Linked DNA regions of Arabidopsis thaliana. The protein of the gene in region 2 purifies or fractionates together with the protein of the main gene of each other region. This does not show direct contact. Each region holds a gene or a part of one and is shown on either strand. Other genes may lie near its edges.

Region 1 (6,460 bases), on a different chromosome or scaffold from region 2:
AGTAAAGAAATAGTCATTTCATTTTCTTTAATTCGGTCACAAGTCTCTTGACATTTTCGTCTATATATATATTAGTATTATCAAGAAAACGATCCATCTTCGAGGGAAAGAGAAAGATCACAAGAAAAGCTCTCTCAGAATAATCGCAATGGCTTCAAAGCTCGTGATCATCATTGTGTTCATTCTAGATCTCATTGCTGTTGGATTAGCCATTGCTGCCGAACAAAGAAGAAGTGTCGTAAGAATCACTTCTCTCTCTCTCTCTCTAATTTGTTTCTTTACTCTCTTTTAGATTTCTTGTTCTCTTGAAGTCAAATTTTGGTGATGAGATTGTAATCTTTATTTGGAACATATGTAGGATATAGTGTTTTGACTTTCAAATCAGTTTTGGTACAAAAATATGTGTCGGTGCGATTTCTTGTAGTGGACTCTTTCTCAGATCTGATTCAAGAATCTTGTTTCTTGATCGATATGGAGCTTCACATTGTGATTTGAAGATCTTTGTAGACTTTAAGACCTTTGTAGATAAGCGTAGCTTACTACATTGTTAGATCTCAGATTAGTGGTTTTTTGATGCAGAAGAAAATGGCTGAAGATCTATCATTTTGCTTAAGTTTCTTGGGCTCTTTTGTTTGTTGTTTTGCAGGGTAAGGTTGTTCCGGATGGTGAGAAGGAATTTGAGCATTGTGAGTATGGCTCAGACATAGCTACAAGTTATGGAGCTGGTGCATTTGTGCTTCTCTTCATTAGTCAAGTCATTATTATGGTGGCTAGTCGGTGTTTCTGCTGCGGCAAAGCTCTTAAACCCGGTGGTTCAAGAGCTTGTGGCATTATGCTCTTCCTTATTTGCTGGTAAAACTCTATACTTAACACAATCTCTATAATTTATGACTTTGACTTGACACATCATTCTACACTTGGTTTTGAACAGGGTGTTTTTCTTGATTGCTGAGGTATGTTTGCTCGCGGGATCAATCAGAAACGCGTACCACACTACGTACAGAAGGATGTGGAACATCGAAAACCCTCCTAGCTGTGAAGTGATCCGTAAAGGAGTGTTTGCTGCTGGTGCTTCCTTTGCTCTCTTCACTGCTATTGTCTCTCAGTTCTATTACATCTCCTATTCTCGTGCCCGAGACGGTTACCAAACCCCACATTACTAGTGAGTAGTGAGATCCAGAACAAGAAAAGCTAAACCCTGAATGAGTTTGTCCATTTATCCACTCACTGATCAATAGGATATTAAAATTTGATGATGTTAGTCATTTTGCTTCTTGCTTGTATCACAATTGTTTTTTTTTGTTTTCTTGTGATGTATAAAATCTTATTAATATAGACAGCTATTCTACATTTCAGTATCTAAGCTTATTGTTACAGTGTAAGTTTTATACATTTTAGAGTTCATAACCTGGAAACAGAGCTTGTGTTGGATCATTCATGTCGAGTAACATGTAGGCCATTCCTCCGATACCTTCAAAGAGAGAGAAGGGTCTATCTCCTCCATGCATTTGACCTTCTGAGATTAACTTCTCTGATTTATCGAGTAGGAAAGACGCGAAAGCTTTAGCGCGGTACAAATACTTTGGGTTTCTTGTTAACCGGTATAGAGAAAGAAACACGTATGTGTTTCCGCTGATACCGTGACAGATTCCTACTCGTTTAAGCAATCCACGGCTCCACACAACTTCTCCTGCCTCCATTGCTGCCTCTACAAATTCCTTAGTGTTATAAACCTGACGATATCCAGAAAATGAGTTTTGCATTGTGGTTTTACTTACTGATAAGAGTACTTCAATCAACAAATGATTACCTGAGCTGCCTTTACAAGTGTGAGAGCAACACCAGGAGCACCGTGACACCAGTGAACAAGGCGATCTGATTTGCTTCCTTCACTAGATAGGTAATTCCCGCTAGGAAAACGGTTTTGTATCATATAGCTTAGTGTACCTTTGACATCTTTGATTTCATCTGGTTCAAGTTCCGTATGCATCAAAACATTCATGATCCCAGCTAAACCGTGTGCAGCCCCCCAGTACCTCTTCCCGTGCCACTCATACATCAATGGACAAGTTCCTTTATTCCCGAGTTGTCTTCCTGCCCTGAAGATTTCCTCAACCACTGATCTCTGAAGATATAGAGATATCATAAAATCTTGAACTTTCTTGAGTAAGTCAATTAACCAAAGAAATTTTATAACTTTATTATACCATTCGTTCAGATGATATACTCTCCTGACCAATATGCTTATTCAAGAACAAACACGCCCACAAGTATCCTGCTCTACCATATAGCAACTCATATGGCAAGTCACTAGGAAGCCTAATCTGTTAAACAGATCAAAGTTGCAACACTCAAGCAAAGTATAGAACAAGTTATCTATTTTCACTAGAGCAAAAGAAACTGTAATTAGTAATTACCCCTCGGAAACGGGCTAAGTAACGATCATATAACTGGTCATCACCTAAACACTTCGCTGCAACAGCACCAAGAGCACATACACCAGCATAGCCACATATAAATGTCACTCGCCTGATAGAAACCACAATCATTACCCCGAAATGAATTCATGAAAATTGGATCATTGAAGAAAATTCACTTACTCAGAATCTCTTGAAGCTACATCACAAGCTTCAACATTCTCTAAGCATAGCTTAAGATCATCTTCATTTCTAGTAACCTGATAAGATTTGAACAAGAGATAAGCTGTCCCAAGAACTCCAGTATACAAGTTATAATCTCGAACACGTTTTCCAGATCGTTCCCATGTCTCCCAGACTACCTAAAACAGAATCACCACACAAACAAGAGAAAACACAACTTCACTAGACTAAAGAAAAGTCATAAATTCATTATAACTACATAACTTCATTATAACTCAAAATCATATATAATCAAATTGAAAAGTGAGTTACTTTATCTTTGATGCTTAGAGCATATCTGTGAAGCTTCTCTGAGAATGATTTGTACGGAAGTGATAGCAGTTTCGTCAACGAATCTTTACATTCGGTAACAGTTTCTTCTTCTCCGGATAAATCTTCCGGTACAAACTCCGGCATCTCATTTCGGAAAAACCGTTCTCCCATATCTCTCTTTCTCTCAGCGGTTGCTGCAGAGGACCGCGAAGAACAGAGACTAACGACGAAGTGACGAAGTGACACATCGTTACCATTATTAATGGGCCTTAAGTTAAGCCCAATAATGACCGGCCCATGATTTTTTCTCTCTGTTTCGTCTCTGACCTTAAAACACTTGCTAAAACCCTAGAGAAAACGTCTCTACGCGGAAAAACAAAAAAATGGGGAGGAAGCGGAAGCACAGTGAGACGGAAGCTCCGGCGCCGGTGAAAAAGAGCGATGAGCCTGCTCCGGATAGACCCAAAAGGACTCTATTGGGATGGAAAGATAAGAGTGAAGGTGAAGCTGAGAAAGCTAAAGCTTTGACTTCATCTGGATTCAAGAACAAAGAGAAGGTTTTGGTGACTTGTTCTCGTCGTATCAGTTTCAGGTTGAGTTTAAATTGCTAAATTTGTTTCCTTTCTTTTGGTTTTGATTTCGTTTTTAGGGTTTGAAATTGATTTGTTTATTGGGGATTTTTGTGTGAAGGTATCGGAGTTTGATGTTGAACATTGTTTCACTTCTACCACACTGTAAGAAAGACAGTAAAGTTGAAGCAAAGAGTAGCAAAGGCGCGACTTTGAATGAGCTCATTGAGCTTAAGAATTCTAATTCCTGCTTGTTCTTCGAGGTAAAGTTTCCATCTTACTTATTTCTAGGCTTAGTTTTTGTTCCATGTAGTCAGATTTGTTCCTTTACTGTGGAATGTTTGACTCAAAAGTCAAACCTCAGAAACTTGTGATTAGAATACTCGATGGAAGCTTATGTATATGCATATTGATGCAAATGGACAATCTTTGACTCTATTGGTATTTAGTATTTGTTCCATGTCATCAAAATTTGATAGTTATCCCAAATTGTTAGGGTTTGGTTTGTTGTGGAAGCTTAATATATGCATATTGATGTAAATGTACAATCTCTGAATGTATTGGTTGATTTGTATTTGTTTATGTTTCCATTTTCAGTGTAGGAAACATAAAGATCTTTACATGTGGATGGTCAAATCCCCTAATGGACCATCTGTGAAGTTTTTGGTTAAAGCTGGTAAGAGTCGAGATCCTCTGACTTTAGTTTAAGTGGCAAGAGCTGATAGATCTAGTCACGTATTTAGCTATGATGGGTTCAATCAGCTTGTGTCTTGTTCTATATCTGAGTTCTGTTTCTGTAACTATGTATTTTTTGGTAAAAGGATTTTTACTTTTGTTCTCTGTATATTGAAGTGCACGCAATGGAAGAGATGAAACTCACTGGAAATCATCTCAAAGGGTCACGTCCACTTTTGACATTCTCATCCAATTTTGATAAAGATGCGCACTGGAAACTCTTGAAGGAGATGCTTACTCAGGTTGTTGCCAGATTCATATCCTTGGATAATGTTTTTGGTCCATTAGTTCTCAAGACTTTCACATCCTAATTAGTTTTGTTTTGTTTATCTCTCAGGTCTTCGGAATTCCTAAGGAACACAGGAAATCTAAGCCTTACCATGACCATGTATTTGTCTTTTCAATTGTTGATGAGCATATATGGTTCCGAAATTACCAGATTTCGGTTCCTCACAATGAGTCAGATAAAATTGCAAAAGGTGGCCTGGATAAAATGACCCTTATCGAGGTTTGTGGACAAAGAGTTACAAACTTTTAATAATAGTCTTTCGACCATGGTTTTTGATTGAAATGGATACACTATTGACAACAGGTTGGTCCAAGGTTTTGTCTGAATCCAATCAAGATATTCGCGGGCAGCTTTGGAGGTCCTACTCTTTATGAGAACCCGTTATACGTATCTCCAAACCAGGTATCATTGATTAATCTCTTATTTGCAAGCAAAAGATATAACCAAATGAATCTTAGAACTTTCCTTAAGCAAATTTTAAATCAATGTATTTAGATTCGAGCATTGGAGAAGAGAAATAAAGCTGGGAAATTTGCTAAGAAGATCAAGGCGAAGACGAGGAAAAAGATGCATGAGCTCTCAAACCCGTTGGAGCCTGATGAGTTTGCAGATATGTGGAAAGATGATGAATGATCAGAGTTCAGGAAAATTGTATCACTTCACTTTGTCTTACTGTTATTTTAGTTTTGTCTTGTTTTCGCTCACTATCAAACATAAACAAAGTTTTGTCTTGCAATGATATGTTTCTAAGTTTCTTGACATCATTGAAAGTAAGGAACAAGCAACTCAGGATCATATCTTCACTTTCTCTTCTGAACGCTATTAATCTTTGCACAAGCATCGCCTTTAAAATTAGTTCTACATATAACTGATTATCAACATCTCTGATGCAGCGCATCTCAAATCGTTCTTCAAGTTTGGGCTAGCTCGTTATTTGGGTTTTGTTTCTCAAGGGCTTAATGTTTATTTGGGCTTTTAGGCTAGAGTTTTCATTATCTTTCTTTTATTTAAAGAGACGTAATTCATTATTGTATAGTCACAGGCTGATACTTGAATCACTTGCGCAGAGAATGCACTCCCGCTCAATCGATATACCATCCTAAATCTGGATCATTTCTATTTCCTAAATTTTATCCCTCCGCTTGAACAGAGCTTCTATTATGGCTAAAGAAAGAAGAAACGGTAAATCTATATGCTTCAATTCATGACATCGTCTAGTTTCCTTCCCATGACCAAGAGCCCACGCAGTTGTACCACAAGAGTATACTTTTGAGTCCTTGGTTACCATTGTGAATCTATCCCCCGTGGTTACTTGCATCTGCAAAAGTGAAGCAACTTGCATCATAACAATTCATGCTCTTCAAAACAATTTCTACTGCAACACTTACCAAAATCATCTAACTAAACTGACAAATCTAAGCAAAAAGTCCAAGTCTTTATCAAAGAAACAATATTTTGCCTCTTCAAGTCTTCACCAAATCCCGAGATTTATATCATAACCAAATGGTATGTAACAACAAGCCACGCTCTTTAAAACAATTTCCAAACTTTTATGAAAAAGAAAAATTACATTGCCTCTTGAAGTCTTCACCATAGCACAAGATTCATCAATGGACTGCATGAAACTCAAAACTTGCTTCCAGTTTCCCTCGCATCGTGCAACGAGTTCGTCCTGTTTCTTCAAAGACAAAGCATCGTAGATAGGATGCTCTAAGCATCGACTAGCGGCAGCGTGATCAGCCAATGATTTGAATAGGTCATGTTGGTTCAATTTGATAGGTTAAGTGTTCCTTTAGCATGTATGAGAAAGAGGATGAGGTCTGGAGGGAGAAAGGCTAAGGCCATGGAGAGATACTTGAGGAAGTTACTAAAGAAAAGTGGCTAAAGGAACAAAAAGACTATGAACGAAGTAGAGGCTTTCCTCTACTGTTATTCTATTATGTTTTGTTAAACTC
Region 2 (9,043 bases):
TGAAAAGAGTGATACCCTTAAGGAAATTGAAAATGTAGAACAAGACATCCCAACCATGAGCAGTTCCAGTTTTCTTAATGTACGACTTATCCTCAGCCTCACAAAGAAGGTTCAAAGCTTTCAAGACAACAACTCCCAACATGAAGAAATGGATTGCGAAAACAGTGAGACGTTTCTTATAGAGAACGTAGATCCACGTGGCGGCGAGAGAGAAATAGATAACAGAGAATAAGAAATAGACCTTAGGAAGAACAGTTCTTCCAGCAGAGAGATAATCACGACCTCCCTTTTTACCTTCAAGGTTATACATAGCGGATCTAACATCCATACTGATTTTGACCTGTTGGAGACAATTAGCGAAGACGAGAGAGTACTGATCCGCATCGTTCTCGGTGAATACGGTGGAGAATCTGCTCTTATCTCCTCCCTTGAGATTGTTGAAGGTGAACACATGCTTAACGAGATCTGATTGTAGAGCGCACGTGATCTCTTCTTCTTCAAGCTGTTGGATCACATGAACCCAAGCGTCTCTAGTGCAGAGAAAGAAGCCCACTTTGGAGAGATCGAGATCGGGATTGCTGTTGGAAAGCCAGATCTTGGAAGCGTCAAGCTCAAGACGACCGCTGTGAGTGAAACCGAATTCGTCTAAAGGGATGATTGGACGATCATCGGATCGGATCTCTGATTTACGAATCTCAGCCGAAGCTATGGAGATGGAGATCAAGAGAAGGATAAGGATCGATGAGAAGCGTGAAGAGAGATCCATGGGAACTAGGGTTTCGTTCTTCGACTTCACAGAGAGATTAATCTGATCTCAGATGTGAGATCCAAAGCAAAATCAATCCAACTTGTTCTTCTTCCGATGAAAACGGTTGTGTGTGACCAACCAAATTAAATTAGTCTTTTTTTTCTTTCTAAGAAACAAAATAAATACCATTATTTTATTAGCAACAAGAGAACCCATTTTCCTTCATCATTAAGGGAATAAACCATCTTTGACGGATTAGTTGATTTCTAGAAACAAAAATTTCACCAATTCACCGATTCCAACCGAATGGCCGGCGTTTCCAGTGTATTTGAAGGAGTTGTAGAGTGATAGGGAAGAATTCATAAATTTCTCTTTATCTTTAATTTCTCGTAGTGCAAATGTAAAAGCGGATAAGTTGGCACGAAAGATTCGTACCGTACCGCATCATGTCACGTATGTAAACAATATCTCTCGGGATTGGATCTTTTGAGTTCAAATTTATATCGGTTGACAAAAAAAAAAAAAAAAAAAAAAGGAAGAAATTAAAGTATTGATGAATTTCGTTTTGAATTGGTCGGAAATTGGATGTATAAGTTGAGAACAAATTATCCATCAATTTAAATCATAAAATGTTTTTCCGAATGACTTTTTTTTGGAGATGTATTATTTCTAAATGTTTTTACGGTTTCTTTAGATCTCGTTCAGATTGTATCAACAAGCGCGAAACCTTCATTAAACATAAATGGTATACAAAGAAAGCTTAAATACTAAACCGGAGAGATATTATCTATTTATAATAGATTGGTTTGACTGTTTGAGTGTCTATGGTCTAACTCTTGTCCTCTCTACACAACCCGACACTAAACCAACATCTTCCACTCACATATGACGAAAAACATCAGAAAGTAGTAGAAGAGTACTCTTAGAGATTTTGTTCAAGAATCGCAATTCGAAAAAGTTACACTGCAAATAAACCGTGTGACCCGTGCAAGTATATGTGCTTTTGGAAGCTAAATTCATGCAGCTGCTACGGAGACATACAGTCTACATACCTAAATATATTACATAGCATGTCTCACTCCAACCTCATTTGTATTTCATATTAGTCTCAACATATTCCCATAAAGCATATGTTAAACCTATTTTACATCACGTTTTCACTAACTTCAAAATTCTAATTTGAGGGATAGAAGTTGGTCACATGATACATATTTGTTAACGTATGAACATCATAAAATCTAACAATTGATACAAGAGTATGTAGGATACAAAGTTACACGTTGTGTTTGTCTCAAACAACATTAGTAACATTTTTTAAAAAAATTGTGTAGACAAACACAACATTAGTAACATTTAAAAAAAAAAATGTGAACCGGTTTATTTTTTCACCACTTAGCTGGAAAATAAATAACGTGTATTTGCGTAAACAATACATAAGGTTTAAAAATGTGTTAGTGCTATGTTTTATACATTTCTAAAAAGCGTTTGGATCTCACCAACCAAACATAGTATTTGCCAAAATGCAAACGCTATCTAAAATCGATGTGACATTACTAGTCAGATTTAGTGGGTTTGTTCTAGAAAAGATCTTTATTTTATACATTCAAATTTTCAAAACTACAGTTATTTTGTTGTTTAGTGTCATCCTTTTGAATAAACAATCATAATCCTTAACGTCTCTTATCTTTTTTTTGAATCCTCAATCTATGGACCGTTTGAACTGCAATCGTAATGAGGATGTTCGTGGTCCACATGAAATCACTTTACTCTACTAATAAGTGATAGTTTTTTTATTCGAATTTTAACTCGTTACATTCTTTTACAAGAAAATCGACCTTGTTATATTTATTTATATGGTTGGTCATGCATGCAATAGTATTATCATTACTTTACCTGGTTAGAGAGATGTGGAATATTAAGGGATTGGTTGAATATATACGACACACCTCGTCGTTTTTATTTTGTTTTTGGTCAACTCCTCGTCGTCTTTGAATTCTCGAAATAAACACCATGCCGTTTCAAATTTTCTTTGGAAAAGAAAAGACCCTGTATTGGCTTTTATATAAACCGCTTTCTTCCCCTTTACTTTTTCCCAACACTAGCAAGCAAAAATTCTTCATCGACTCAAATTCAAAAACTCATCTCTCTCTATCTCTATTTCTCTGGTTCCATAGCTCACCGTCGCATCGCAGATCTACTCCTTCCGCAATAAATTTTACCGGCGGAGGTATCAGATCTCGCCGATCTGTTGTAGCAGCTACTGTATTTTGGGCTTCTCATTTGATATTGGGGAAACGAGGAGTAGAGGACGATGGAAAATCTGATCTCTCTGGTTAACAAGATACAGAGAGCTTGCACGGCTTTAGGAGACCATGGAGACTCCAGCGCTTTACCTACTCTTTGGGATTCCTTGCCTGCGATCGCCGTCGTTGGTGGTCAGGTTTGCATCTCGATCTCCTTCCCCTTCCATTATATGCTTGACGATCTATCTCACGATTCGTTCGTTTTTTTTGCGATTCGGAATTGATATTGAGCTGAGGTATTCGGATAAATTTGCCCTAAACTTCGTTGTTTTTGCTTATCAACATCCGGATCGTGAGGAATTATAGTTTAATAGCTTCTACTATGAACTAGCTTTGCAAGCAATTGGTATTGAGGAATGTTGACTTGGCTTTGACTTGGATATTTTTTCACTAGTTGGTCTTGAACCATTTAATTTAAGCTACGATTGTTGTGGAGAGGGGTTTCTGTACTTTGATAATTCTATGTGGCATTAAGTTTATGTTGTATCCTTATTGTGTTGACAGAGCTCAGGGAAGTCTTCAGTCCTGGAGAGCATCGTGGGAAAGGACTTTTTACCCCGTGGATCTGGTAAATACAGTGTTAACACTTCTTACTTAGTTTTAATTATGAAATTGCTTATTTCCTTGAGTAATGACAATATGCATTTGCGGTAACTATTTGTAGGCATTGTTACTCGAAGGCCCCTTGTCTTACAGTTGCAAAAGATCGATGATGGAACCCGGGAGTATGCAGAGTTTCTTCACCTCCCGAGGAAAAAGTTTACTGATTTTGGTGGGTTTCGGCTATCTCAATTTGCAGTTCAAGTTTCACCTTCTCCTGTATTCCATTGATATTTGATTAATTTAATCACCTCTATAGCTGCTGTGAGGAAGGAGATTCAAGATGAGACTGACAGAGAGACTGGACGCAGCAAGGCTATTTCTAGTGTTCCCATTCACCTTAGCATATACTCTCCCAATGGTAAGGACAACCCAAAATCTCTTTCCAGTTGTATGTGCTTTTTGTTCATTCTCTAATTTTTTATCCTCTTTACTATGTGTGCAGTTGTCAACTTGACACTGATAGATCTTCCAGGGCTTACAAAAGTTGCTGTTGGTAAGTTACAGTAGAGCAAGAAGTTTTGGTCTATTTTTTCTAGCGATGAAGCATGAGGCAATAGACTTTATTCTCTACCATACATAATTTGGCATGACACGACAAATTTCTTTTGGTTGATGCAGATGGACAATCTGATAGTATAGTGAAGGACATTGAAAACATGGTTCGGTCCTACATTGAAAAGGTAAATGAAAATGCTTACTCCCAGACCCTTTAATGTTTTATAGATAGCTATCGCCAGTTTAAATTAGATTCGGTAATATATAAGTATTCTCCCTATATTTGTTATGTTTTCGTAGCGCCAAATGAGTTGACACTATTCTGTTTTTTTTTTTATTTAATTAAATTTCCTTATAGCCCAACTGCATCATTTTGGCAATCTCACCTGCAAACCAAGATCTTGCTACCTCAGATGCAATTAAAATTTCCCGTGAGGTTGATCCATCGGGTGAGCATTTTACAAACAATTCATTTTTCCACCTAAGAGACCCAACACATTATTCTGTCATCCTATGTCTCTTATAATCTTGGTGATCTTCACAGGGGACAGAACATTTGGTGTCTTGACAAAGATTGATCTTATGGACAAGGGGACGGATGCAGTGGAAGTAAGTTGAATTCCCAGTTTATAGAACATCTGTACTAGAATTTCGAATTACTGTGAATAAAATGTGTTGTAATTAGTCTATGATATGATGTTGGAGCTATAAAATGCTAATTTGTGTAGTAACATCATAATACTTATGTTCCCTCATTAATGTTTATTGCGTGCACCGCTACTTACCAAATGATATTTTTTGCTCAGATTCTGGAAGGGAGATCTTTTAAACTTAAATATCCGTGGGTTGGTGTCGTCAACCGTTCCCAAGCAGATATTAACAAGAATGTCGACATGATTGCGGCTCGGAAAAGAGAGAGGGAGTACTTTTCCAATACTACTGAGTATAGGCACCTTGCTAATAAAATGGGTTCCGAGCATTTGGCAAAGATGCTCTCCAAGGTACGTGCTTTCACGAGGCTAGGGGTAGTTTTCTTCACCAGGTTCTTTATAATAAGTAAGTTGGCGTTGTGAAATTTGTTAGGAGTGGTAAATAAGAGTTTCAGGGCCAGTGTTTTCACGATTGCTGCTAATTTTCTTAGCAGCCGACAGAAAATACTAAGAAACTACGAAGTTATGGCAATGCTTAGCACGTTTCTCTGTATAAAACCATCAGGACAGAGCCTAATTGCAACAATTTTATTTGTTGCGCAGCATCTAGAACGTGTGATCAAGTCGAGAATTCCTGGCATTCAGTCACTTATTAACAAAACAGTATTAGAGCTGGAAACTGAACTAAGTCGCCTTGGAAAGCCTATTGCAGCTGATGCAGGGGTAAATTGTGTATTCTTTTATTTTTGATTGAATTGCGCTATCAAGATTTACTTAATGTTCTGATGCAGGGGAAGTTGTACTCAATAATGGAGATATGTCGGCTTTTTGATCAAATATTCAAAGAGCATCTTGATGGAGTGTACGTTTTGACTCTTTTTACTTCAAATGTTTAAGATTACACCATGAGTTGTTATAGCGTCTGAGTTGATATTTCTACTCTTGACCTTCTGAAACTACAAAAGGAAAATTGTAATTTAAGACTATGGTTGATTACACAGGCGTGCTGGTGGTGAAAAAGTGTACAACGTGTTTGATAACCAGCTTCCTGCGGCTCTGAAGAGACTCCAATTTGACAAGCAGCTAGCGATGGACAACATCCGGAAGCTGGTCACTGAGGCTGATGGTTACCAGCCTCACTTGATTGCTCCTGAGCAAGGTTACCGTCGTCTCATTGAGTCTTCTATTGTCTCCATCAGAGGCCCTGCTGAAGCATCTGTTGACACCGTATGAACTCTTTACTTTCATCTCTAAAAAGATGTATCAAAAACCTAACACAAAACAATAAGCTTCTCTCTCCGTTTTTTTTTTTTTCTATGGTTAAATATTAGGTTCATGCTATCTTAAAGGATCTGGTTCACAAGTCTGTGAATGAAACTGTGGTACGTTCTTTTTTCTTTTAGTAATATATATATATATATATATATCTCCAACAACTAGTACTTTTGTACAATGTTATAGACGGTTTGAACATGTGCAGGAACTAAAACAATACCCAGCTCTGAGAGTGGAGGTGACAAATGCGGCGATAGAGTCGCTGGATAAAATGCGGGAAGGAAGTAAGAAAGCAACACTGCAGCTGGTTGACATGGAGTGCAGTTACCTCACTGTTGATTTCTTCAGGAAACTTCCCCAGGATGTTGAGAAGGGTGGTAACCCCACACACTCCATTTTCGACCGCTACAACGATTCCTATCTCAGACGAATCGGTAAGGTTAACCCATATAAATAAATAATTATCTGGTACCGTATATCTCACAAATTTTAGACATTTGGCAACAGGATCCAATGTTTTGTCTTACGTGAACATGGTCTGTGCTGGCCTGCGGAATTCAATCCCCAAGTCCATCGTATACTGCCAAGTCCGAGAAGCGAAGCGCAGTCTCCTCGACCATTTCTTTGCGGAGCTCGGTACCATGGATGTAAGTGCTCTCTGCCTTTTTTCTTAACCTAAAGAAGTGTCATTCGGGTAAACACTGAGTCAACTAATATGGTGATATCCAACAGATGAAGAGGCTCTCGTCGCTATTGAACGAAGATCCAGCAATCATGGAGAGACGCAGTGCCATCTCAAAGCGGCTAGAATTGTATCGAGCAGCCCAATCCGAGATCGATGCTGTTGCTTGGTCCAAGTGATACCGGCATGTCATGTCCACTGTTTTGCTCGGTTCTGGTCGGTGTGGCTCAGACTCGGAGCAGAGATTTAGGGTCTGTAATTTGTATAAGATGATCTTCCCGATACCATGCAGTATCGTTTTATATAACATCCACATTGTTTGTCCTACCTCTATGTTTTTTGTCCATCACCCGATATGTTACGTATCGTTTTATAACATCCACATTGTTTGTCCTGCCTCTAATGTTTTTTGTCCATCACCCGATATGTTACGTATCTTTTATAACATCCACATAGATTAGATTTTCTCTATTCCCTTTATTTAATTACTATAAAATGTATTTTTCGCATATGATAATTTTTCTGTAACAATAGTATAATATTAAACATTCTACCCAAAAAAAGAGTATAATATTTAAATATGATTACCAATAAGAAAAAAATTCTAATAGTTTAAAATAAAAATTTGTAATGTACTCTTTTTTATTTTGTTTTGCGTTTCTGAATTTGTGGCCATTATCTTCTCACACTCTCTTCTCTTAGCTCACAGAGGAAAGAAAAATGGCGAATTCCATTTCATCAATATCTCTGCCTCGATGTTTCATCTTCAACAATGGTAGTCACAAATCAAGGCCATGGCCAAGCTCAAGCAGTTTCTTTCTCAACAAATCATCAAAGCATCATCCTCATCCACTACTCTCTCTTTCTTCTTCGCCGTCTTCCGTCGTAGAAACTGATAATGACGACGACAACGACCTCACTTTCAGGTACCCTTTTGCTTCTCTTCATCGATTCCATTGGAAAGCTTAAACCTTTCTCAGCTAATCCAATTTCGTTGACATTAAGGATTTTAGAGTTAGTGATAGATTAGGGATTGCGTAAATGATGAAATCATAGAGACTCTTTTCTGCTGTTAACTTGTTAGTGTTATATGAATCTTCAATTTTGTTACACTAGTGAATCTCTTAAAATGATTCTCTACAATAACTAACCTCATAAATTTCTTTGTGGTCTCATGTTGGCTTGAGCGATTGGTTATATTGTCATTTGTGAATTGTGATGGATCCATCTCTCTATAGTCAATAGATCATAACATGAGGAATGAAACAGTGGTTGCAGAGCGTGTGGGAAAGAAGAGAAAGAGAGTGGGTGTAATGGTGACGGACGGATTCAAGGTGGCATTGCAACTGTCCCCGGTTTCGGTTGGTGGCCAATTAAGGCTTACAGGCCTTGTCCCGCGTTTGTTGAGGCCGGAGGTAGATACCGCCGCATAGGGCAGAGCATGGACGAGGTTGCATTTGGTCGTGGTGACTCTAAATCCTCCACTTCTGTAGACACCAGTGATTCACTACTACGGTATGTTAATGCCTAGTATTATTTATATACACTTACAATCAACAATGAAACAAATTGGACCGCAACAAAAACCGTCTTTTGGCATGTACAAGAATGTCAAAATGGGTTTGAGAACCTTGCAGAGTAATGATGATCATGTTCTTCTCTCTTTGTTTGTTTTGCAGCCAGACAAAGCCAACAAGTTCTAGCAAAAGTTCAAACAAGTGATATATAGCCCAGTTTTTCAAGTCCAAGAAGAACTTTTTTTGGAAATGTGTAATGATGATTGGGCCTAAACATATTATCGGCCCATTTATAATTTTACGGCTCAATAGTTAAGAAACCCTAAAGAAGGTTTTATCACTCGTAAGAAAAAACAAAACAAAAACCCTTTGGTTTCTCTCTGTCGGCGAGACATCATCAATGGAGGAAGTAGCGAGAGAAGAAGTAGAGATCGACAAGGATCTGCGGAGGAAAATAAAGAAGACGGTGAAGAAGATCTTGGAAAGTTCGAACTTGTACAAGATAACAGAGATTAAGGCGCGAGAAGAAGCTTCACTTAAATTGGATCTTGATCTGTCTCAAGATCCTTACAAGGTAATCGTGAAAGAAGAAGTTGAAAATTTCCTCGAAGAAGCAGTAAAGTTGATCGGCAATAAACTTGCGATGCTTCCCAAGAGAATAGAGTCGACGAGTATTTAGATATTATTAATCTAAAAGTATGTCGATCCAAAATTGGATAGTTTTAATGTAATTTCCTCAAAGATTGTCTCTGTTTGTTTTTTTAATAGTG
Region 3 (6,492 bases), on a different chromosome or scaffold from region 2:
AAAGAGCTCACGGCATTGTACAAAACGCAGGAGATTCAAGCGCATAATGGTTCTATTTGGAGCATTAAGTTTAGTTTGGATGGTAAATATCTTGCTAGTGCTGGTGAGGATTGCATCATTCACATCTGGCAAGTCGTTGAGGCTGAGAAGAAGGGTGAGTTGTTACTTGATAGACCGGAACTGTTGCTTTTGGCTACTAATGGGTCTCCAGAACCGACTACTATGTCACCAAGGAGAAGAGGGAGAACTTCTATAAGTAGAAAGTCATTGAGTTTAGAGAACATATTTGTTCCAGATTCTCTTTTCGGGCTTTCGGAAAAGCCCTTTTGTTCCTTTCAGGGACATGTGGATGATGTACTTGACCTTGCTTGGTCCAAGTCTCAGGTTAGTTAGTCACTTTATTTCCTTGGTACTATTTGGAAGAAATTGAATGGTAGAGAAGATTTATGAGTAAACAAGCTTTCTATTATTTGTTTCCTCAGCATTTGCTCTCTTCATCAATGGATAAAACAGTTCGTTTGTGGAATTTGTCCAGCCAGACTTGCTTGAAAGTATTTTCGCACAGTGATTACGGTTAGTAGGTTCTGCGCCAACTGCTTTTAATTGTTCCGTCTTTTGGTACTTATCAAATTAACAATGTGTGTTTTGATTATTGATTGGAACAGTGACTTGCATTCAATTTAATCCGGTTGATGATAGATACTTCATCAGTGGATCCTTAGATGCAAAAGTTCGCGTCTGGAGCATTCCAGATCGTCAAGTAGTTGACTGGTATGATCTTCATGAGATGGTCACTTCTGCTTGCTACACTCCAGATGGTCAGGTACACTGAAATCTGCCAAGTTATGATCTGAAGTCCAGTTTTTTGGCATCTCATGAAGAATCCTTAAAAGAGTTTCCTAACTTTCTAAAGAATTTCTGTTTAAACTTGAAGGGTGTGTTGGTTGGTTCATACAAAGGTAGCTGTCGGATGTACAGTGCATCAGGTACTGATGAAGTTCTTGTTGGGATTTGATATTGGTTTTCTTTCTGCTATTTCTTATGTTTCGACACTAAGTGATAATTATTTTTTCAGATAACAAGCTGCAACAGAAAAGCCAGATAAATTTACAGAACAAGAAGAAGAAAGCTCATCAAAAAAAGATAACTGGTTTCCAGGTAACGAAAATCACTTGTTTAGGAGCAATATCCGGTGAAACAAAACGCGTTGTTCTTGATGGCTCTAAAAGTTCCTTGCTTTGTCTCATTTCATATTTTAGTTTGTTCCTGGGAGCTCATCTGAAGTGCTTGTCACATCTTCCGATTCAAGGATCCGTGTTGTTGATGGAACTGATCTAGTTAACAAACTTAAAGGTAAACAGACAAACAATCGCCTTTTGAAGTTTCAAGCTTTGTCTTCTGTTTACGAGCCAAAGTATCGATCTTTTCTGTTTTCATTTCATTTGATAGGGTTTCGAAATACGAGCAGCCAGATCTCTGCCTCAATCACAGCAGATGGGAAATACGTAGTTTCAGCAAGCGAGGATTCACACGTGTACATATGGAAGTACGAATCCCCTGCTTCTCGACCAAGCAGAAGTAACAACAACAAGAACGTGACAGTCACAAACTCTTACGAGCATTTCCATAGCCAAGACGTCTCTGCAGCCATCTCATGGCCTGGAATGGCCTCAACAGAAAACTGGGGAACCCAAAACAGAGCGGGGTTTAACGGAAGCACCAATAACTTGGACAATATCTCCACAGCTAACCATCCGCCTACACCGGTAGACCAGCTGGGGACTGTGGAGCGATTAAACAGTCCACGGAATGGGATCATATCGAGCGCAACAAACGGATACTTTTTCGATAGAATGTCAGCGACTTGGCCTGAAGAGAAACTGTTGTTTGCAAGGAACAGAAGTGGGAATCGTCTGAGTACGGATATGTCGTCGTCAAATGGAAACTCAGGGAATGTATCGGCTTCTTGGGGAATGGTGATTGTCACTGCAGGTCTCAGAGGAGAGATACGAACGTTTCAGAACTTTGGTTTGCCCATTCGGATTTGATAAAAACTGTACAGAGTGGTGAAGAAAAATCGAGTGAGGTTTGTATTATTGTTAGCTGAGCTTTTTTTTGTTCCTATTCTTCTTTGTTACAGATTTGTTTCCAGGAAAATGGAGAGAAAAAAAGAGAGAAAGAAACTATACAGATCATTGTAGAGTTACAGACACACGAACAGAGAGATATGTTTATTGATTGGAAATAGAAAGAGAGAAACCAAAAAAGGAAAATTCTTTTGCAATGTAGTTTCTTTTGCGTGTCATTAAGGCCCATGTAAGCTTGATCCGGCCCATTGAAATTCCTTGTATAAAAGTGAGAAACGTTGTCGTTTTCGTTGTGACATTTTTAGTTAAAGCAGCTTGTCTCTTTCTTTAGGTTGTTGAGTTTTGTACTAAAACCCTAAATCAGAGAATTTAGCGTTGTTTCTTCTTCAATAGACACAAAAAATGGGGAGGAAGAGAAAGCACAGCGAGACTGTTACGGCGGCACCGGTGAAGGATTCTGCTCCGGAGAGACCTCAAAGGACTCTTTTGGGTTGGAAAGATAAGAAGGAAGATGCTGAGAACTCTAAACCTGCGTATGCGTCTGTATTCAGGAATAAAGAGAAGGTTCTCGTTACTTGTTCCCGTCGGATCAATTTCAGGTGAATGGTGTTGAAATTTACATTGGGTTTGATTCGGTTTAATGGTTATGAATCATGGAGTAACTTTGTTAATTCGTTGGAAGGTATCGACATTTGATGTTGAACATGGTGTCACTTTTACCTCACTGTAAGAAGGATAGTAAGGTAGAAGCTAAGAGCAGTAGAGGTGCCACTCTTAATGAGCTCATCGAGCTTAAGGGCTCTTCTTCCTGTTTGTTTTTCGAGGTAAAGTTTCAATCTTTTTTTTGGCTACCTTAATTCCAGAACCAGTTACTGTTCTATGGTCTGCTCTTCGTAAGGGGTTTGGTAATCATATTCGTATCAATCTTCTTAATTTCTTTTTCCATGTATTTACCTATTTGGTATGAAATGTAACTTGGTAAAACTTTCGTACCATTGATGATAGAAACAAAGAGCATTACAGATTGAATTCTCTTTTGTCTGGTTCAAATTGGGCTCTCTAGTCTCTCTGTTTTAAATGTCAGCATGTCTGGATTTACTTGATTTCAGCATGTCTGTAGAGTATTAAACTGCAAAGTCAATGTATTCTTGATTTCTTCCCAGAAACTGAAGTTAGTACGTGTTTGTTTGTGTTCGTCTTCAGTGTAGGAAGCACAAAGATCTTTACATGTGGATGGTGAAGTCCCCTGGTGGACCTTCCGTTAAGTTCTTGGTTAATGCTGGTAATTTGTCTCCAGCTCCTCTTATTTGGTTTCAAAATAAGTGACTGATGGATATAATAATACTTTGGGTAATGATGAGTTTATCAATTTGTATCGTCTCTGAGTAGTGTTTCTGTAAATTTCTGTATGGTGAAGTTCACACAATGGAGGAGCTGAAACTCACTGGAAATCATCTGAAAGGTTCACGCCCACTTTTGACATTCTCATCCAATTTTGAAAACGATGCACACTGGAAACTTCTGAAAGAGATGTTAACTCAGGTCTCATTCTCACTTTTGAATTGTGGACGATCCTTTTGTAGTCGCGGTTAGTTTGGTTTATATCTTCAACTTTTAAGTTTTGTTTTTTTGCTTACAGATTTTTGGAATTCCCGAGGGACATAGGAAGTCTAAACCTTACCATGACCATGTGTTTGTTTTCTCCATTGTTGATGACCATATATGGTTCCGTAATTACCAGGTAAGTTGAAATTTTAGCATCTCTCATGCTCTCATTTCATTTCAGTTTGGAAACGTTTCGTTTAACTAGCCAAGGCTTCCATTGCAGATATCGGTACCTCATAACGAGTCAGACAAGATTGCACGAGGCGATCTGGATAAAATGACTCTTATTGAGGTCAGGCCATGACTATATATATACTAACACTAACTTACATAATTTCTGAAGAATTAGTTGTTGATTGAAGTAAAAACCTGATGACAGGTTGGTCCAAGGTTTTGTTTAAATCCAATTAAGATATTTGGAGGCAGCTTTGGAGGTACAACGCTTTACGAGAACCCATTCTATGTATCTCCAAACCAGGTACTTGGTTCTTCTATAAGCAACTTGATAGATCACATTGCTATATATGATTATCTGTCAGAGTTCTCATATATTCCAATTTCCTGCCTTTTAGATTCGAGCTTTGGAGAAAAGAAATAAAGCTGGGAAATTTGCTAAGAAAATAAAGGCAAAAACAAGAAGAAAGATGCATGAACTCTCAAACCCATTGGAGCCTGATGAATTTACAGACATGTGGAACGATGAATGATAAAAGTCGACCAAAGTTTCTTTTTTGCTATTGTAAACTTCTAAATTCACAAAATCAACACAGTTTTGTCTTTACCACTGCTTTCTTCCCTCCCTCTTATCTATCAAAGAGTGAGATTGCGAATTTATCACACAGTTGTCTAAGTAAAGACTGCTATGTCACGAAGAAGCAAATCAATTTTATTTCTTTATCGTCTTCATAAGGCTATATTTACATAAACAAGAGTACATAAAAAGAAAACGCAACAAAGAAGCAAGAGTTAACGAAACTAGAAGCAAAATCAACGAGAATTAGCCAGCGCCCAGTTAGCTTCACTTCCTCTTCTAGGGATACTATTGATCTTAGAACAAGCATCAACTTTGAAACTAGCTCCACAAAGAACACCTTCACTATCAATCCTCGGCATTGCCTTCATCATATTAGTCGGATGGTCAAAGCTCTTAAGCCCTGTCTCACTATGAAACATACATCCTGCAATAACAAAAACACAAAACACACATCAAGATCTAAACTCAAAAGTATGTTTCTTTCTTTATAGGGCTAATGAAAAACTTAAGTTTTGGTTTACCATTAGGGAAAGGAGCAAACGATTTAGCACAGCCTTGCTTTATGATCTGAATATCATCAGACATTACAACAGATCCGTCTCCAGAAATTCCCCAGTAAAGACTCTCTCCTCCATCAGAACTCAGAGCTGAGAAAACAGAGGAAGTTTGAGTATCGTAGACAACGAAAGCGAAGCTTCCCTCAAGACCTCTAAGAACTTGATCTGCTGGGTAAGGACCACGATCACGAAGTGTTCGATAAGCTTCGATCACAAACATTGCCTCGTTTGAGTTCTTCCCAGATAAACCGTATTGTCGATTCAATGTACAGAGATTATTCAATCTCCCTAGAAACATACAGTAGATCCCATCTAGTCCACAGAACAACCTGAGCAAAACAACAAAACCATTATGAATCTATGAATTGGATTTAGAGATTTGACTTGTATATATGTGTTTTATGTATATTAGTATATACCTTTGACGAAGAGAGGTTTCTTGGCGAGCGTAAGCTAAGACGGCGGAGTCGCCGAAGTTCATAGAGAAAGCATTGTTTTGGTGATGAGAGAGGAAGTCGGAGAGAGTTTCGCCGGGAAGTTTAGGAGTTTTGCCGGAGAAATGAGAAGCCGGACTGTTGAGTTCTTCCGGTGGGTGAGCAAAAGCTTTCTGAAATATTGCCAACATTTTCGTTTTCTTTGTCTTTGATTAATCCAATGCTTGAAATGTGTTATGTTTTTGTTGAAGACAATGAGGGGTTTTATAAAGGTACGAGATTATTATTACACGAGATGCTGACTTGGATTTTAAGATAAGACTGACATGTCTTACGTGTTCTTATCCGTTTCTTTTTAGACAAAATTATTCTGTAGTTAATCTTTTTTTTTAAAGTGTCTGGTAGGTAAATAAACAAATTGTGAATCCAATGATGATTAGATATTTAATCTGACGAGTAAATCTTTTTGGAATGATATGATTTTTTAAACGTGCCACGATAGAAAAGTAGTATGTTTTTTTTTTGTCATGTTGGAAAAGTGGTAGGATATTTTTTGACAGCGAAATAGTTAAGTGAAATATGATTTTGAATATATGAGATATTTTATTAATACAATCATATAAGATATTTTAAATATCGGAATATCTATTTATGGTTCATCGAACCTTAACGATATGTATGAATGTTAACTTTTGTAGTTATGATCAATCTAATTTAATGAAGAATTCCTATTGTAACTATTTCCTAAAATCTCGTATTCAATCCCAACAATTACTCATTCCTGGTTACAATTTTCCTTTCACACAAATATTTTTTATACACTCTCATAGCTTGAAAAACCTAACTCTCTCTTAACTTCTTTTTTTCCCATCATTGCATAGAGATTATGGAGTGTATTGTGGATGATGTATCGGATAGTACATGTATGGTGACGCCAATCTATTATTCGAAAGAAACAACTCAAGATCGTCAGACTTTTTTGTTTGATTTTGAAGTTGTCTACACAAAAGTGCCTGAGCCAAATAGTGATGGAGAATCTGACTACATGTCCAGTA
Region 4 (9,806 bases), on a different chromosome or scaffold from region 2:
TCAAGTATAAAAAACCCATCAGAACCAGACAGAATTCTTTAGATTTTTTTATCAAGTAGATCTAGCATACAATGACACAGACCATCCATGATTCATCAGATGACCAAGTTGAAGAACCAAACAAAGCGTTATGCAATTACCAGGATCATTGTGACATACAGAGAAAATTAAAGGGATTACTACAATAAAAGGTGTAAAAATCAACAAGAGAAGCTTATATAATGTGTCTATGAATTAGTCTTTTATAGTTTCCTAGTTCACAGCTAAGCAGATCACAGCTAAGCAGATCACCTCTATAATAAAAGCTGTTCCCGATCATTAAACTAAAACCAGCTATGTTCCAAATAATCACATAATAGCAAAATTAGTAACAAAGCTTCATCTAATACACAACCTTGAAACAGATGTAGCTGACAGTGGAAGAAACAATTAAAAGGTTCAAATCCTATAAACAATCTCAAATAGTCACGCGCCAGTGTAACTTGGATTCCATCATGCCGATTAGATCTACATGTTGTTCCTCTAGAGAACTAGATCTCCATGATCCAGAATGACTATATTTCTTATCTACTTATCTATTACTCTGTTCTTGTATACAAGATTAAGTCACTGGTGAAACTAAGTATTTGTTTTGTTCTGATCCACTGAAGAACACAAGCAAGACACAAAAAGTTCACTGTCCTGCATCAAAACGTACCTGGCTGGGGATCTGGCGGTCGTAAAAGGGAGAATCACGAGAGACATTCATGTCGTATCCAGGAGGCGTATGAACATAAACGGACAAGTACTTTTCATTGCCTTTAAAAAACTTCTCCCAAAGCGGAAGCATAGGTAAAGGCCCTCTCGTCAGAAACATAAACGCCACTTTCGGAACCCTATCGTACGGATACTCTTCCTTCACCGGAACCATCGAAGCTCTCCAGAACAACTCATCATCAGTCATTCCATGACTCAGATTCTCTGGCCGAACAAACCCATCAATGCTCCAACAATCTCGAACCTTTGGTTTCTCCGCCTTGACTCCTCCGTCGTCGCTCTCGTTGTCGTCGTTACCTGTGCAGTCTCGGTGGATGATTGTGCAATTGGAGTAATCAGGAGTCGAAAAAGGAATCGATTGGAGGTTAGTGGTTGATGAGAACATCCTCGGCAAAGAATTGAAGTAGCGATCGATGTGAGAACTTGCGGCGAGACCGATGATGATTCCAGCCATGAAAATTAGCAAAAACGACAGCGTTTGCGCCAGCTTTAGTAACCCTATGTGTTTTTCTCCTTCCTCTTTCCCTCCTCTCGCCATTGTTCGAGAAACTCAAAACTTGTCTACCCAAACAACAACACAGTGATGATCTCTGTTCCCCAAAAATAAAGTTTCAGGGAAACATTCTTATGATTCAAAGAGAATCTGATTGTTTCAAGCACAAATCCATTGCATTCAATCTCCTCGAGAAATTTCCTAAATTTGTAACATATAATTAAATCCAAGGATCAAACGAAATCGAAAAAGGTAAGTGGATAAATGGAAATTGGATCTGTGGAAATCTTCGAGGAAAGTGAGAAACGATGACTGAAACAGATCAGAAACTGAATTTCATGCAGAGAGGAAGAAGAAGAAGAAGAAACATAAACAAATCTGGTCTTTTGTTTCTTCCAGTTGAAATCTATGTGTGTGTGTGGTTGATTTTGATCTTATATATATAAAAGAACAAAATTAATTGGAATGTTATGCTTAATTTAATTAGATTAATTGAGTTTAAAACTCCACGTCGAAAAGCATAACGAGTTCAAAGTCCGCAGATCTTGCCAGATGGGAATAATCTATTGGTTTTAAGTTATTGGGCCGGAGGGCCCACGTTTAATTGTGACGTGGTTTAGTGCTCGTCAACTCTTTGGTCCGACATTTCACTTTTTTTTTTATAGAAATAATTCTAGATATCCAGTAGTCAAACTTATTGATTATCTAATTTCTATATCCTTACTATTTTTAAAAAAATTACTTTTAACATTTCTAGAATTTTTCGATTTTTTCTGTACTTATTAACTATTAGTAAAATTTATTGATGCTTCTTTTGGTTATGTTATAGTATTGAGACAATGTATTGTATTCTAATTTTGATTTTTTTTTTCCTTTTTAATGATTTGTAGATTTTGTTTTTTCATTATTATATTTGAAAAAATATCTTCTTATATCTTAATCACCAGAAAATCTAAAACCGATGGCTATACTAATTTCCGGAATATATGAAATGTTTATTTTTCTATTAAGGATCCAAAGCAGCTAATTAAGATTAAAAACTTGGGAAGAACTAGTATCCCAAACAAACAATATGATATCCAGATGTCCAAAAGGAAAAAGAAATGGTATCAAAAGAACCAAGAAATGTGCCTAGAAATTTCATATAGTTAGCTTGGAAATTTCTGATTTTTATGTCCAATGTTTATTTATTTTTTCCTTATAATTATACTTGTCATACATCACAAAGAATTGTCAACATTGCCAAACTAGTCCTAAGATGTTGGAAGGTATGATGATAGACAACAGTTCTAAAGAAGGGAAGATGAGATTCAGGCAACAAAAAACACATATAGTTCAAAAAAATTAGGTTGGTAGGATCAATTATTCAAAAAACATACACCAAATAGATTTTAGTAGGGGTTGTTTGTCCAAAAAAAAACTATAATAGTTTACGAAAATAGTTACACCTTGTGAATAGATTTTTTGTTTGCCTTCCCTTGAGGTAAATTATGTCGCGAGAACTATATGAACAACAACGAGATCCACAACAACATTTGATTACATTTTTATTTGAACCTTCACATTGATTTAGTAATGTGGGATTCCAACATCATCTAATGTTATATGAATGGATCTAATAGATGATAAATTGTTAAATGAACTGATAATTTTTTTTTATTTTTTTATGTGTATTTCACATCACATTGTTTTTTTTTTTTTTTTTTTAAGTAAGAAAAAGAAGAAGCACTTGAGACCGATCAGAAAAAAATTAGAAAGATATGATTTTTGTAAGTCTTTTGAAATTTGAATCTTGTCCCGTGTAATTGTGAAATCTTACGTACGTCCTCTTTATGACCTCGTCTTCGCTCATTTCTGCCTTCCCTTACGAAATCCCCAACGAAAAATCTTAGCTTAACACCATCGCGACCGGATTCCAAATTCCGGCCCATCGTCTCACCGGGAAAGACCCCGCCTATTGCCGCCGATTTCGGTTCCGGTCTGCTCAGATCTAATCGAGTGGCTTCCTTCTTCCTCCAGATCTCTTCACTTTGAATCGGTTACTCGATCTCGATTCGCGGAGGGCTTTTGCTAGTCGCGATGGAGGCGATCGATGAGTTGTCTCAGCTCTCAGATTCGATGAAGCAGGCGGCGTCTCTCCTCGCCGACGAAGATCCCGACGAAACCTCTTCTTCCAAGCGCCCTGCCACTTTCCTCAACGTCGTTGCCTTGGGAAATGTGGTGAGTTCCTCGCTCTCACTCCACGCTCCTCGATTTTCCTCTCTTTAGGCTCGTGCTGGTTTTATTCTGTGTTCGAGTGTATGTTGGATTGCCATATCGTGGATCTTCTGGATCTAGATTAGGTTTTTATCGAATTTTGCTAGGACACACTCATCGTTTATAGCTAGTTTTGTTGGGATTCTCTTTATTAGTGGATATATGGTTACATGAGGAGCGACTCGTGCCGGAGAAGGCTGATGTATTTTGTTATTTGTTACTTATCTCTTTTTGCATACTGAACCAGGGAGCTGGAAAGTCTGCAGTTCTAAACAGTCTAATTGGGCATCCAGTGCTGGTAAGTTGTACATTGAGTCTATGGTTATTATTGGCTTACTCCTTTTCTTATACTAATACTGACCTCTGTTGTGTCTGCTACACTTACTATACACAGCCGACGGGTGAGAATGGTGCTACACGAGCTCCTATAATAATTGAATTGAGCAGGGAGAGTTCTTTGAGCAGCAAGGCAATTATCTTGCAAATCGACAATAAATCTCAACAAGTTTCTGCAAGTAAGTCTCTATCTATGAACATATGCAATTTAGCAATGCTATGTGAGGCTCTTTCTGCATTTATGATAAAAAAATTTCGATCAGTCTTCTCATAATATCTCCATTGTGTTCTACATGGGTATATTTTAGGTGCTTTGAGACATTCTCTGCAAGATAGACTTAGCAAAGGAGCCTCAGGGAAGAATCGTGATGAAATAAACTTAAAACTTCGTACCAGCACAGGTAAGCCCCTTTTTACTTGCACAATCATAAGTGGCAAGCCTATATCTACTCTTCAAATAGCACATCCTTAGCTAACCTAAGTTGGGTGTATGAATTTATCTTTGATACCCGTGAACTGGTCAGCTGTAATATCTTGCTATCCTTATATACTATCTAGTACACTAGTTTAGAGCTTCTAGCTTTACTTTGGTGGGTATCAGATTAAATATCTAACGGAGCTTTAACATAAACAGTACACACTCTTTTGAACATGAGTTATGACATATGACATATGACCGACAGTTTCGTAGTATTAAATTTTCTTTGACCATCATAACCTGTTACGTTTACCCTTTACATTGCAGCTCCACCATTGAAATTAGTTGATCTGCCTGGACTGGACCAGAGAATTGTGGACGAGTCAATGGTGAGGCTTGGAACTACTTAATGCCATTGTCATATCCTTAACTTGCCTGACAACCACGAAACAAAAGATTTTGACTATTTTTATCGGTTTCCTACTGAAGTGATAATATAGATTCATTATCATGTTTATCCTTTTGAAATTGTTGTTTGTTTCTTGGGTCTCTTTGCAAGATTGCTGAATACGCGCAACACAATGATGCCATACTGCTGGTTATAGTGCCTGCTAGCCAGGCATCTGAAATTTCATCATCCCGAGCCCTGAAGATTGCAAAGGAGTATGATCCAGAGAGTGAGTACATCTGTATTTCCGATCTGTCTTATCTTAATATTGTTTATTATTTGTATACCTGATAAGAACTGTTGATTTACCTACCTATTATCACTTCAGTTTGCTTAAAATACTCATTAGCTAACATCACTCCTCCCTACTTATAGGTACTAGGACAATAGGCATTATTGGAAAAATTGACCAGGCAGCAGAGAACTCGAAAGCCCTTGCAGCTGTTCAGGCTCTTCTTTCAAATCAAGGACCTCCAAAAACAACTGACATTCCATGGGTTGCTGTTATTGGCCAATCCGTTTCAATTGCGTCAGCACAGTCTGGAAGTGGTGAGAACTCCTTAGAAACTGCTTGGCGTGCTGAGAGTGAAAGTCTTAAGTCCATTTTGACTGGGGCTCCACAAAGCAAGCTTGGCAGAATTGCGTTGGTGGATACCCTTGCTAGCCAGATTCGTAGCAGAATGAAGCTCAGGCTTCCAAGTGTCCTGTCTGGGTATTGCTTCTCTCCATATATGTGCTTTCTTCATGATTTTTATTATGGTGTTGGCATATGACATTGGTTGCTTGAACGCATATGGCTTTCAAATTCTTTGTACAGGCTCCAGGGTAAGTCTCAAATAGTGCAGGATGAGCTAGCGAGGCTTGGTGAACAACTAGTTAACAGTGCTGAAGGTACAAGGGCTATAGCTTTGGAGCTTTGCCGTGAGTTTGAAGACAAGTTTCTTCTGCACTTGGCTGGTGGTGAAGTAAGTACATTCTTACAAAAGTTAACTAGATTTAGTCGAAAATTCAAGAATATAGTGAGAGAGAAGAACTCTTCAAATATTAGCAATCAGCCATTTCAGATTTGGTACTAGTGTAGTGGAAAGTCTCTTGCTAGCCTACGCTTGGTAAGAGCACATTATATTGTTGGGAATCTCATGAATCTGATAGTGGATGTTTATAATATGTGTATAAGCCAACTGAGTGTTTGATATAGAGTTTTTGTACTTGTCTGTGTTCAGTTTATGGGCTGAAGTCCCTTTTGGAGCTTGGCAAATGTTTTTCTCAAAACTTTTTGATTCTTGTTCAGGGAAGTGGTTGGAAAGTTGTTGCAAGTTTTGAAGGAAATTTCCCCAACCGTATCAAGCAGCTTCCATTGGATAGACATTTTGACCTGAACAATGTTAAAAGGGTGGGTGTCTTCTTCTGTCCTAAGTTTCTGCACGAGACAAGTTTTGAGACTTGATTTGTCAAAATATCTTTGATTTTCAGGTTGTTTTGGAGGCAGATGGTTATCAACCTTATCTTATATCTCCAGAGAAAGGGTTGAGATCGTTGATAAAGATTGTCCTTGAGTTGGCTAAAGACCCGGCACGCCTTTGTGTTGATGAGGTGTGCTTGTTTACATGTTTTTTTAGGTACATGCAGTAGGATTGAATTTTAGAAATTTACTGCATTGTGAACTGGCTATGGCTTGTCTCACTTTAATTCTTCGAACTGTTATTTAGAGTTCTGTCAAGTTTTCTGGTTTATAAGCCTTAGTAAGTTAATATCCCTTACCGTAGATGTAGCTATTTTTTGGTTCCTACTTTAAAACTCATGCATCCAGCTTCTGTCTTATTTACGTGTTGAGCTAACATGGTCTTAACTTTTGATTAGGTTCACCGAGTTCTTGTTGACATAGTTTCAGCTTCTGCAAATGCTACACCTGGACTTGGGAGATATCCTCCTTTCAAGCGAGAGGTAATAATGATTTTTTGGTGCTTTATTCAGTAATATTTTATCATTTCGGTAACAGTTATTCCTTTCTGACTAATCATCAACCAGGTTGTAGCTATAGCAAGTGCAGCACTTGATGGTTTCAAGAATGAAGCCAAGAAAATGGTGGTTGCACTAGTTGATATGGAACGCGCTTTTGTACCACCTCAACATTTTATCCGTCTTGTGCAAAGGAGGTATTTTGGCTTGTCTTTCTTTGCAATTTTTGTTTTTATTTTCAATGGTTCATGACTGAAAATTATTTCTCTTTCTGACGATGCACTGTATTGACTCCATCAGAATGGAAAGACAACGTCGCGAGGAAGAGCTGAAAGGGCGATCTTCTAAGAAGGGACAAGATGCAGAGCAGTCCCTTTTAAGCAGGGTGTGTGTTCATTCTGTATCAATTTGGATATACGTAGTGAAAAATGTTTTTTTTTTTTTTTTATCGTTTTACATGAAAATATATAATGTGGAAATTCTCTACATATATGTTTATCAGGCTACTAGTCCTCAGCCAGATGGGCCAACAGCTGGTGGTAGCTTAAAATCAATGAAAGACAAACCTAGTCCGCAAGATAAAGAGACGCCGGAGGTCTCTGGTCTGAAAACTGCTGGACCTGAGGGGGAGATAACAGCAGGTTGTTATTCTAATATACATCTACCCAGTTACTGTCTAAAAAGTTTCATTCTGCTTTTTCACTCCCGATTTGCTTTCCTTACGTTGCATGATTTTATTGCTGCAAAGCTTTGCTCTTAGTCCAAGTGCATGATTTCTTCATGTCTTTTTCTTCTTTATCACTTAAAACTAACTTGACAAAACTAACTTCCAAGGTAGATAACAAATACTTACTCTTTTCATTTAGGGTACTTAATGAAGAAAAGTGCAAAAACAAATGGGTGGAGTAGGCGATGGTTTGTTCTGAATGAGAAAACTGGAAAGGTCAGCATTTTGAAACGTATATTCTTCAGTTGTTGAGAACTTACTGACTTTACTGTTTACCTTTTTCTAGCTTGGCTATACCAAAAAGCAAGAAGAAAGAAACTTTCGGGGCACGATAACTTTGGAGGTACCATTCTCTTCCTATGCTTTATTTTCTGCCAAAGGTGAACTATAATTAGATATGACATGGAAAAAAGAATTAGAGAAGAATATAGTTCGTATTCACCTTGTTATTTTCTCCCACACTGTTTCCTTCTTGGAGAGTGACAATTACTTGTGTATTTTGAAGCTTATGCTTCAAATATTTAATAGTTCTGTTATTATCGATGAGAAATTTGGATACTCTATAGATAACATTTTTTCCATGTTTTTCTAATTATACTTCCTCCAACTTTATTAATCCACTCAGGAATGCACTATTGAAGAAATCCCCGAGGACGAAGTAGAAAAGTCAAAGAGCTCGAAGGACAAGAAGGCAAATGGACCTGATTCAAAAGGACCAGGCCTTGTGTTTAAAATAACCTGCAAGGTTCCCTATAAGACTGTACTCAAAGGTACATAAATCAATCATTATAAGAATTCAAACTTCTTAATCTTCTATTCGCACTTTTATGAGTTTTCCTCAAACTATTATGTTGCAGCTCACAATGCCCTTGTGCTTAAGGCTGAGAGTGTAGTCGACAAGAACGAGTGGATTAATAAGTTGCAAAAGGTTATCCAGGCTCGTGGAGGCCAAGTGGGCAGTGTTTCCATGAGGCAGAGTCTTTCAGAAGGTTCACTTGTGAGTCACTCATGGGCAGCTTTTCTTACATTTCCTCTTCCTTAAATCTATGTTAGATACGTTCACTAGTCTTATGGATTACTTATTATCACTATGAAGAAAGTTTGAAACTTCACTTCGGAAGGTTTGAAACTGTTGGAAGAGCAAACAAAGCTATTTATGTTTTATTGAACATTGTCGAATTTTTATTATTGAAACATTTTTCCTATAGAAGGCTCAGTTTATGGGGTATGCATGATACTACTTTTAAACTTGACATAAGTTATGTTTGACATTTAAGGTTTTTATTGTTTATAATATTTTCTGAGACTTACGTTTTTTTCCTTGTCTGTATTTCAGGATAAGATGGTTAGGAAACCCATCGATCCAGAAGAGGAGCTCCGGTGGATGTCCCAAGAAGTACGGGGTTACGTTGAAGCTGTTCTTAACAGCCTTGCAGCCAATGTTCCAAAGGTGAACTATCCTTATGCAAAAGCTCGAAAGCTCTAAATTTTCTTGTCCATCTCTTTTCTCTTACAGAGATTCCTCGGTCATGCTACTAAGCGATGTGAATTGACCATGAACAGGCTGTTGTTCTTTGTCAAGTAGAGAAAGCAAAGGAAGACATGCTGAATCAACTCTACAGTTCTATAAGGTTCAATATCTTTTCGTTCCCTGTGCCTTGTTTCGTTTCAGTTGTGGTGTGCTTACTTGTGCTCTCCTGTATTTGATCTTTAGTGCAATAGGCAATGAAAGGATTGAGTCATTGATACAAGAGGATCAGAATGTCAAAAGACGAAGAGAGCGTTACCAGAAACAATCCTCTCTTCTTTCTAAACTCACGAGGCAGCTTAGCATTCACGACAACCGAGCAGCAGCTGCTTCAAGTTATTCGGACAACAGTGGCACTGGTAAATTCATCCGCCTTATTATATTCGAAACATGATAACAGTTCTTCTGCTTGCTTGGTTTGGATTGATACGGTTTCTTAAATACCATCTGAAAGATCTTCAATGAAACTTAGGTTTATAAATCTTTTAATCTTGGTATCACTTGTCCTACAGAGAGTAGCCCAAGAGCAAGTGGAGGTTCTTCAGGGGACGACTGGATGAATGCCTTCAACTCCGCTGCTAATGGACCCTCAGACTCATTGTCAAAGTACGGTTCCGGTGGTCACAGCCGCCGTTACAGTGACCCTGCGCAGAACGGAGATGCAGCATCACCAGGGTCTGGTAGCAACCGCCGCACCACCCCCAATCGGTTGCCACCAGCACCACCGCCTACAGGTTCAGCTTATAGGTATTAGAACCTGAAGAAAAAACCCTGGAAGCGCATTGTGTCCCGTTTTCTGGGACTACGTTACTCTTATTTTTTCTAGTTTAAGACAGTGATTGGATGATTGTACTACTGTTTTTTGGTCTTTGTAGATAGATATTA

The links.
Region 1: the proteins of DL1 (region 2) and AT1G52930 fractionate together in Arabidopsis thaliana (co-fractionation; one large-scale study listed by BioGRID). This does not show direct contact.
Region 3: the proteins of DL1 (region 2) and AT3G15460 fractionate together in Arabidopsis thaliana (co-fractionation; one large-scale study listed by BioGRID). This does not show direct contact.
Region 4: the proteins of DL1 (region 2) and ADL6 fractionate together in Arabidopsis thaliana (co-fractionation; one large-scale study listed by BioGRID). This does not show direct contact.

Annotation. Positions count from the first base shown.
Region 1 is NC_003070.9:19,707,966-19,714,425, forward strand, and holds AT1G52930 (Ribosomal RNA processing Brix domain protein), read left to right. Parts: upstream 1-3,213; 5' UTR 3,214-3,295; coding exon 3,296-3,504; intron 3,505-3,602; coding exon 3,603-3,744; intron 3,745-4,078; coding exon 4,079-4,157; intron 4,158-4,333; coding exon 4,334-4,458; intron 4,459-4,553; coding exon 4,554-4,724; intron 4,725-4,808; coding exon 4,809-4,907; intron 4,908-5,000; coding exon 5,001-5,138; 3' UTR 5,139-5,343; downstream 5,344-6,460. Other genes in the region: AT1G52910 (fiber (DUF1218)), read left to right, coding at 149-238, 647-852, 932-1,163; GPCR (G protein coupled receptor), read right to left, coding at 1,395-1,733, 1,811-2,125, 2,208-2,324, 2,418-2,529, 2,601-2,779, 2,913-3,083. UniProt on the Arabidopsis thaliana protein: Involved in pre-rRNA processing and required for biogenesis of the large (60S) ribosomal subunit. Required for proper development.
Region 2 is NC_003076.8:16,818,553-16,827,595, reverse strand, and holds DL1 (dynamin-like protein), read left to right. Parts: upstream 1-2,579; 5' UTR 2,580-3,059; coding exon 3,060-3,188; intron 3,189-3,555; coding exon 3,556-3,619; intron 3,620-3,715; coding exon 3,716-3,823; intron 3,824-3,910; coding exon 3,911-4,012; intron 4,013-4,096; coding exon 4,097-4,147; intron 4,148-4,272; coding exon 4,273-4,334; intron 4,335-4,507; coding exon 4,508-4,598; intron 4,599-4,693; coding exon 4,694-4,758; intron 4,759-4,955; coding exon 4,956-5,150; intron 5,151-5,402; coding exon 5,403-5,522; intron 5,523-5,590; coding exon 5,591-5,661; intron 5,662-5,800; coding exon 5,801-6,026; coding exon of another isoform or gene 6,027-6,032; exon of another isoform or gene 6,033-6,130; coding exon 6,131-6,181; intron 6,182-6,279; coding exon 6,280-6,508; intron 6,509-6,581; coding exon 6,582-6,721; intron 6,722-6,806; coding exon 6,807-6,935; 3' UTR 6,936-7,312; downstream 7,313-9,043. Other genes in the region: AT5G42090 (Lung seven transmembrane receptor family protein), read right to left, coding at 1-766; AT5G42070 (uncharacterized protein), read left to right, coding at 7,477-7,682, 8,026-8,271, 8,436-8,478; AT5G42060 (DEK, chromatin associated protein), read left to right, coding at 8,674-8,952. UniProt on the Arabidopsis thaliana protein: Microtubule-associated force-producing protein that is targeted to at the leading edges of the forming cell plate during cytokinesis.
Region 3 is NC_003074.8:5,212,186-5,218,677, reverse strand, and holds AT3G15460 (Ribosomal RNA processing Brix domain protein), read left to right. Parts: upstream 1-2,416; 5' UTR 2,417-2,489; coding exon 2,490-2,686; intron 2,687-2,769; coding exon 2,770-2,911; intron 2,912-3,290; coding exon 3,291-3,369; intron 3,370-3,504; coding exon 3,505-3,629; intron 3,630-3,726; coding exon 3,727-3,828; intron 3,829-3,915; coding exon 3,916-3,984; intron 3,985-4,071; coding exon 4,072-4,170; intron 4,171-4,264; coding exon 4,265-4,399; 3' UTR 4,400-4,594; downstream 4,595-6,492. Other genes in the region: AT3G15470 (Transducin/WD40 repeat-like superfamily protein), read left to right, coding at 1-384, 483-573, 666-823, 935-986, 1,076-1,158, 1,260-1,353, 1,450-2,048; AT3G15450 (aluminum induced protein with YGL and LRDR motifs), read right to left, coding at 4,680-4,870, 4,968-5,332, 5,423-5,628; AT3G15440 (RING/U-box protein), read left to right, coding at 6,324-6,492. UniProt on the Arabidopsis thaliana protein: Involved in pre-rRNA processing and required for biogenesis of the large (60S) ribosomal subunit. Required for proper development.
Region 4 is NC_003070.9:3,367,446-3,377,251, forward strand, and holds the start of ADL6 (dynamin-like protein 6), read left to right. Parts: upstream 1-2,956; 5' UTR 2,957-3,328; coding exon 3,329-3,469; intron 3,470-3,752; coding exon 3,753-3,803; intron 3,804-3,899; coding exon 3,900-4,020; intron 4,021-4,149; coding exon 4,150-4,242; intron 4,243-4,586; coding exon 4,587-4,648; intron 4,649-4,818; coding exon 4,819-4,936; intron 4,937-5,082; coding exon 5,083-5,419; intron 5,420-5,524; coding exon 5,525-5,672; intron 5,673-5,998; coding exon 5,999-6,100; intron 6,101-6,180; coding exon 6,181-6,300; intron 6,301-6,567; coding exon 6,568-6,651; intron 6,652-6,735; coding exon 6,736-6,863; intron 6,864-6,966; coding exon 6,967-7,051; intron 7,052-7,168; coding exon 7,169-7,307; intron 7,308-7,532; coding exon 7,533-7,609; intron 7,610-7,679; coding exon 7,680-7,736; intron 7,737-8,018; coding exon 8,019-8,163; intron 8,164-8,250; coding exon 8,251-8,390; intron 8,391-8,729; coding exon 8,730-8,843; intron 8,844-8,956; and 6 more. Other genes in the region: AT1G10280 (Core-2/I-branching beta-1,6-N-acetylglucosaminyltransferase family protein), read right to left, coding at 698-1,294. UniProt on the Arabidopsis thaliana protein: Microtubule-associated force-producing protein involved in clathrin-mediated vesicle trafficking from the trans-Golgi network to the central vacuole. Able to bind and hydrolyze GTP. Binds specifically to phosphatidylinositol 3-phosphate (PtdIns3P).